Ovis aries: one gene and its partner. The protein of the gene in region 2 purifies or fractionates together with the protein of the main gene of each other region. This does not show direct contact. Links are inferred from orthologs where the notes say so. Each region holds a gene or a part of one and is shown on either strand. Other genes may lie near its edges.

What was found. Proteins that work in one complex are often made in the same cells at the same time.
Region 1: the proteins of NUFIP1 (region 2) and ZNHIT6 purify together in Homo sapiens (affinity purification with western blotting; 3 studies listed by BioGRID and IntAct, with this or other methods). This does not show direct contact. The link is inferred for Ovis aries from reciprocal best matches to the Homo sapiens genes NUFIP1 and ZNHIT6.

Annotation. Positions count from the first base shown.
Region 1 is NC_056054.1:62,697,780-62,701,432, forward strand, and holds part of ZNHIT6 (box C/D snoRNA protein 1), read right to left. Parts: intron 768-3,653; coding exon 643-767; intron 1-642. UniProt on the Homo sapiens protein: Required for box C/D snoRNAs accumulation involved in snoRNA processing, snoRNA transport to the nucleolus and ribosome biogenesis.
Region 2 is NC_056063.1:15,536,221-15,539,973, forward strand, and holds the start of NUFIP1 (FMR1-interacting protein NUFIP1), read right to left. Parts: upstream 2,602-3,753; 5' UTR 2,567-2,601; coding exon 2,161-2,566; intron 1,180-2,160; coding exon 1,097-1,179; intron 1-1,096. Other genes in the region: GPALPP1 (GPALPP motifs-containing protein 1), read left to right, coding at 2,789-2,876. UniProt on the Homo sapiens protein: Binds RNA.

The DNA of each region.
Region 1 (3,653 bases), on a different chromosome or scaffold from region 2:
CCTGTACCTATAATTCTTAGCTGAAAGTGCTATCTAGTGGTTCTGAGTTAAGGTAAGTAACTTCTTTTTCTTTTTAGAAGTAATTTTTAAATTTTATTCATCTTTTAGAATTTACATTCAGCTACATAATTAGTTTCAACAGTAACTGCAAATACGGATAAGTCACCTTATATACGAACATTTTACACATACCATTGCCAGTTTTGGTACTTCCTCCCAACTTCACTACTCATCAAAGAGGGAAAAGTATAGAATACTAAAAATGTTTTGTGATCTCTCATTTTAGGAATCTCTAAGGAGTTTTAACTAGGGAATAAATTTATCTGATCTTAGACAGACTGTTACTTAAAGATTATTACCTTAGAAAAAGACAAAATACAAAAAATTCCAAAGAGGCAAAGGACATCTTTTTAGAGGCAGACATTCAATGATTCATTCATTTTAAGTTGATAAAAGCTTACAAGCTCTCAAACAGGACAGAAGCAACAGCTCAATCATATTTTTCTTTATAGCATTATCTGTAGTTACAGAGGAAATTCAGTTAAGTGTGTAAATACAGTGGAAAAATATATAAAGACAATCACGTAACTGTTTCAATTTCACCCGTTATTTAAAAGTTACCAGGAAGAAATTTACACTCACCTTGGTGAAGAACTTTCATGTCATTACTGTATTCTTTTAATACTACATGTAATGTTGGGTACTCAATGATCACTTTGCCCCTCAAATTGTCAAGGAGACTTTTGTCAGGATCCAGCTCATAATATCTTTTAGAAAAAAAGCAAAATAAAAATAAAAATACCCTTTTATTTGAAGTTATTCATAAATAAAATGAGTTCCTTATATTAAAAAATTTTACATGGAGATGACAATAATTCAATAACTGTTTCCTTATAATATAGTAAGTTTACCACCACTAAGAAAATTGAGTAAAAGAGCTATTATTATGAGATCCCAAAGTAAATCAAAAGCATATCAAATAATTTGATATTAGGAAAGCTCTAGAATAAGTTATTCATTTTCATCTTAAGGGATAAAGGCTTTTATATAATATCTATATTTGATGTGTCATTAATTTTTCTTGGATACAATACTGACTAGCTAAAAACTCAAATTCCTCAAATATATTTAGTTTGAGCCTTAAAAGATAACCAAACAACTAGCCCTGATAGTTTATAGTAATATATGGCAGTAAAATAACTGGCTATAAAATACTCTGTAAAAATTTAATTCTAAATTATATTTTCCAAAATTTATATTACTATATAATTAAATCTGGCTTTCCTTTATTTTGAAATTAAAAAAAAACAGGTTTGAGTTTATGAATGAGGTAAAAGCACAAAATATAAGAAATATGGAGTTTATCTATAAAGAATTGGAAACGACTGAGTGACTTGCACTTTTTGGGCTTTCTTGATAGCTCAGTTGGTAAAGAATCTGCCTGTGATACAGGAGAACCCAGTTCAATTCCTGGGTTTCGAAGAGCCGCTGGAGAAGGGATAGGCTACCCACTCCAGTTTTCTTAGGCTCCAGTTTTCTTAGGCTTCCCTTGTGGCTCAGCTGGTAAAGAATCTGCCTGCAATGTGGGAGATGTGGGTTCAATTCCTGGGTTGGGAAGATCCCCTAGAGAAGGGAAGGGCTACCCACTCCAGTATTCTGGCCTGGAGAATTCCACGGATTGTATAGTCCATGGGATCGCAGAGTCAGACACATTTTCACTATGACGTAAACCAGTAAATGTGTCACAGGAAATTAGATGTTAATATTCCCTAAAGACGGTAAAGCATTCGGTAAAGCGTCTGCCTACCATGCGGGAGACCCGGGTTCGATCCCGTAGTCGGAAAGATCCCCTGGAGAAGGAAATGGCAACCCACTCCAGTATTCTTGCCTGGAAAAATCTCATGGACAGAGGAGCCTGGTAGGCTGCAGTCCATGGGGTCGCTAAGAGTTGGACACGACTGAGCGACTTCACTATCTATTCCTTAAAGCATGAAATTCTCAAGTCATTATTTAAAAACATTTTTTTTTTTCAGTTGATTAAAGATATATGCCCCTAGCATTCTTCCTTGCTTGCTCTCTGAGGTAGGAGAATTTCAGCTAGCTCATTAGGAGCTGTTTAAGATAATGTGCTGGCATGTGACTATCACGTCATGACCAAGAGGAAAAACCTCAGAACCTCCACCAGTGTAGCGCAGAAGTTCTCCAACTTTTTTTCTCTTATCTCCACAGATGACAGATGATATTCACATGCAAAGCACATATACCAAGAGATACCAGGCCTGACAGCTGAAACACCATCCTCCTTTCTTCCACTCAAGAAAGTACTCTGAAATACCAGTGATCAAGAGTGAGGCTGCTATTGAGATACATTTGAATCTGCTGTAACTTTAAGAGTAAAACATTCAAATTTTAGTATTTCTTAATTAGCAACAAACTGTTTGCACCACACTTTGCAGCTGACTGGAGACAGGCAGCACACTACACTCTTGGTGTAGCGATTCCTCTGTATGCTAACTCTGTCCCATGCACTAGTTTTTCAATGAGGGAAAACAGAATTTCTTCACAAAATGCAAAGCTGAGCCCACTACAAAAACTGATTTCTTTTTAAGAAATGACTGACAAGTGAGAAAACAACTGTAAACCAAAACTTTACTTATGTTTGCATGACCACAATTAAATTCTTCGCTTTAGAATCACAGAATATTTTATCTGTTGAAAAGAAACTTGAAATGCAAAACATCAGTTTTCCTAAACTAGTCACCCTCGTGCCCATAGGCCACAGAACGTGTACATTCTTTTCCCTGTGTAATATAATACAGACGTGTTTACGATATTTTAAAAGTGGTTCCAGCCTTCAAGGAATAAATGTTTCACATCTTTTGCACGTTATTTCCATTTGAAACAAGCCATATTTTTTTTTTAAGTTAACAGTGATTATACAAAAAAGAGAGACTGAATTAGATATAGATGTATACAATTAACTTTTATAAAGTAAAATATAAAAAGGATGTAACTCAATTTTTCTTAGGAGAAAGTAAGACTTGAACTTTCAAATAGGAAGTTTTCAAGTGGCATCCTACAAACACTTGTGGTAACTTATCTTCTGTACATTTTAACTAAATCATAAGGCTTCTATTAAGAGACATTTTCCAAATAAGGGAATGTTTTCTACATATTTAATTATTTTTGGTAAAGAATTTTCAGTTCATATCTAATGTTTTAGGTATTTTCTTTGTAAAATATTAAATCTTCGTTAAGCTTCTCTAGACTTCCAAAGTTAAACAATTAAAATAAACCTGGTCAGTTGTGTGATTTTAATTAGAATCACTGAATTTTACTGTTTACTAAAAGATGTTGCAAACTTATCATAGCAATATTGCTATCGAGTGTCAATCAGCTTGGAGACCTGTTTTCCAGTTTGTCACTTAAAAGAGGTCAGACTTCACTGAAATTCTGAATTTCTTTGATTTTTCTTACTAGTGGTTACTCTTAGTCTACCATTAATATTTGCCAGTAATTAGGAAGTAAATTATATAAACTGTTTTATAAAGAAAGGCTATTAAACAGAAATATGGTAATGTTTTGTGGACCTGGCGTTTAGTTAAAGGAGGAAGTAACTTTTGCTGGTTGCTTGGGTTTGGAGTCTAACACTC
Region 2 (3,753 bases):
GCCACAAGGCATGGCCAAAAAAAATTTTAATCTGAATAGAGTTAATATAAACCATTAATAGATTTCAAATTGGTAATCTAATTAAAATGCAGTAGAGCATATGTCAGAATAACCTAAAAATAAATATTCAGGGTAAAAACAGCATTTCTTTCTTTAGGATAAATAAAACAATGTGTGTGTGTATATATACATAACTACTAAATGAAAAAAAAAAAACTAGGTAAATAATATTTTCTTATTCTCAATTTACTATTTTTATGTTTAAACATAAAACAAAAAAATTATTACAATGATAAGACTATATAGGAAGTAAACTCCAATTGTTCAATGTTGAGATTATGTTATTAAATATATTATACACTCACAGTATTTTGTAAATATCAGCAATACACTTTTGATACCAAAATGAAGGGTAGTAACTTCATGATATAGATCTTATTCAATTTATTCTAATGACATTATTTATACATCTTAAAAGTCGAAAGACCAGATTGTTAAGCTACATGAGAATAAAGGAAGTCTATTTTAATGCTCAGTTTCTGAATATAATCAAGGGTTGAAAATACACAAAAACTTTTCATTTCATCCTTCCCCTCCCAAGCTGCTAGTGGAGTCGGGCAAGACTGAGCAACTTCACTTTCACTTTTCATTTTCATACATTGGAGAAGGAGATGGCAACCCACTCCAGTGTTCTTGCCTGGAGAATCCCAGGGACAGAGGAGCCTAGTGGGCTGCCGTCTATGGGGTCACATAGAGTCGGACACGACTGAAGCGACTTCGCAGCTGCAGCATATATTTTTTACTTTACTGAAGTTCAATAACATTTACATTTATCTGTAATCATAATTCCCCATATTTACTCCTGATACTAAATGTAAATGGATCGACTGTTTTCTTTTTGTACAATTTCTCCACTTTTTCACAAGAAGATTTTGCTTGAAGTTTTTACTTACAGCCAAGACTCTTAAAGATACTTTTATAGCAAAGCTATGGTGTGTCAGTGATGAATGCAAAACAGCAACAGTTCTGACAGATGAGATATGAAGCAGTGACATAGGGACCAAAGTGTCACATTTAAGAACATCTTTAAAAATACCTTTTTTTTCTGTTTTCTTCTGGGAGAGACGCTGAAGTCATTGACCCTTGCATCATGCTTTCGTGGAAAATAAGAATGTTTAACTGGAAAACAAAGAGAGATTCACAAATGTTAAAAACTGTACGATTATTTAATATTTTGCTAGAGCACATCATAAATACTTGAGTTAAAATAGTGGCAGCCCACCATTTCTAGAATCCTCCTGCAATGCAGGAGACCCAGGTTCGATCCCTGGGTCAGGAAGATCCACTGGAGAAGGGAATGGCAACCAACTCCAGAATTCTCACCTGGAGAATTCCAGGGACAGAGGACCCTGTCAGGCTACAATCCATGGGGTCACAAAGAGTCCGACACGACTGAGCGACTTTCACTTCCACCCTTTCTAGGAAGAATAGTGATTCACACACAGTTCCTGCCTTACAAGTTCTGCACTTACAAGTCTCTCTGCCTGCATGGCCAACCCCCAGACATATGCACTGCAAGAGACTCGGGTTCCATCCCTGTGTCGGGAAGATCCCCTGGAGAAGGAAATGGCAACCCAGCCCAGTATTCACGCCTGGGAAATCCCATGGACAGATGAGCCTGGTGGGCTACAGTCCATGGCGCTGCAAAGAGTCAGACAAAGAACAACTGATCCCTCACCTCCCTTAAGTCTCTGCTCCAATGTCACCTTACTCATGACTGACTGACATTTAAATCTGCACTGCCTGTGACTCTGCTTTCCTTCTCCACAGCACTCACTGCCTTCTAATACACACTGCTTTATTTTGTTTATTGTCTGCCATCTTACACCAGGAGATGCCAAGGCCTAAGATAAGAATTCCTGAATGTTTTGCTCACTGCTGTACCCTCACGTCCTGATTCATAGTTGGAATTAACCAAATAATTGCTGAACTAAATGAACAAGTCGGGAAAACGTAACTGTGGAACAAACTGTGAGACATTAATGACCGGAGTGCAAGGCAGTATCAGAAGAGGAGAGGGGAACAAGGGTGGAAGAGGAGGAGGAAATAGGGATGGAAAAGAAAGATAAGGGGTGGTACGGAGAGGCGTTAACAACCTACCTGGAGTGCTGTGGGGCTGCTGATGCCAAGGAAAACCACCAGGAGACTGCGTCCAGTACCGTGACGCTGAAGCCTGGAAATTCCAGGAAGGCTGGCCATTGGGTTGAGGCTGAGAATCGAAGGGGGACTGGGCGTCAAAGGGGGGCTGCGCCCCGGGGAGAATGTGGGCGTCGAAGGGGGGAGGTGCCCCGGGGAAAGTGCGGGCTTCCTCGCGGGGCTGTGCCTCTAAGGCAGGCTCGGACCCTGCTGCGGGAAGCGACGAAGGCGGCGGCGGCGGCGGCATCGCCCACAGCATCCAGTTGTTCGGCCGCGAGGCTCGGTCGCGTAGAGGCCCCAGCGTCGGGGTCAGCTCGGGGGCTGGGAACCACCCGGCGGGAGGAACAGCACCACCAGCCGGGTCGCCCATCGCCACCCGCCTGGTAGTCAACCCTGCGTGCGAGTGCGCAGCAAGCCTTAGGCGTCACTTCCGTTATCGCCAATAGCAAGGATCAGCCAATCACAAGCTGCGATGTCATCGGCCGGCGCCGGAAGAGTTTCCCTAGCGTTCGGCGGCTCGCTGGCTGCCCGTCGTGGAGTTCTGACTCTGCTTGGAGACACTTGTGTGCGTCTTCAGTGTCTGACCCCGCGGATGGCGAGGGATCTGATTGGGCCGGCCCTGCCGCCCGGGTTCAAGGCCGGCGGGTCGGCGGAGGACGAGGAGCGGGACTCCAGCCCCGGTAAGCGGCGGCGATTTACCCGCCCGCCAGGCCCTCTCTCATCCTTTGAGCCCTAACTTCAACGTCAGCTCAATGAAGGCTTTGCAAACTGTCACGCCCCCTCTTTACCCATGGGGTTTTTTTTTTTTCTACTTAAATACAACAGGTATTTAATAAACTTTTGAGATAACTTGTTGATATAGCTGTCTACACCTATTACTCAGTAGTCCTCTAGTCTTAACACATAACTGGTACCTCGTATTTGCCAAAAAAAAAAGATTCTCAGACCCCTCCCTGAGCATCCATCTCCTTTCTTGTTTGTTCTGATGTGTAGCCTGGGGCTGACTGAAGTTAGGAAACAGTAAAGCTGAAAGAATAACCCTCCCATTTCTGAATCTAATTTGCACTCTTGACTACCCAGAGGCCATGTTTCCACCTAGAGCTTTCTTTCCAGATCTTGTTTTCACTATGGTTTTTAAAAAGTTAGGTGTTTATTTTACCAAGGAAAGTTCCCTTCAACAATGACTAAAGAAAAGTTTTATTTAGCACACAGGTTTGAGATGGACCAAATTAATTTTATTTGACTACTCTGGAAAACTGAATTTTGAGAATTGTCCCCTGAGATCATGTTTTAAAACTGGGGTGCAGATGTTTTCTTGAGACAAGTCCCAACATCCAGATACTGCTTTGCGGAAGCTGAGTGGAACCTGAACCTTTCTTACTCTGACTTTATTCTCTTCATCTGCAGTGACCTTCATACCACTCATCTCAGCTACATTTGCAGTCACACACGGGCCTTATTCCATTTCTGAAAACTTTTTTGGGGAGGGAGGAAGGCACCTCGTAGCTTGTGGGATCTTATTTCCACGACCAGGAATTGAACCCAGGCCCTCCACAG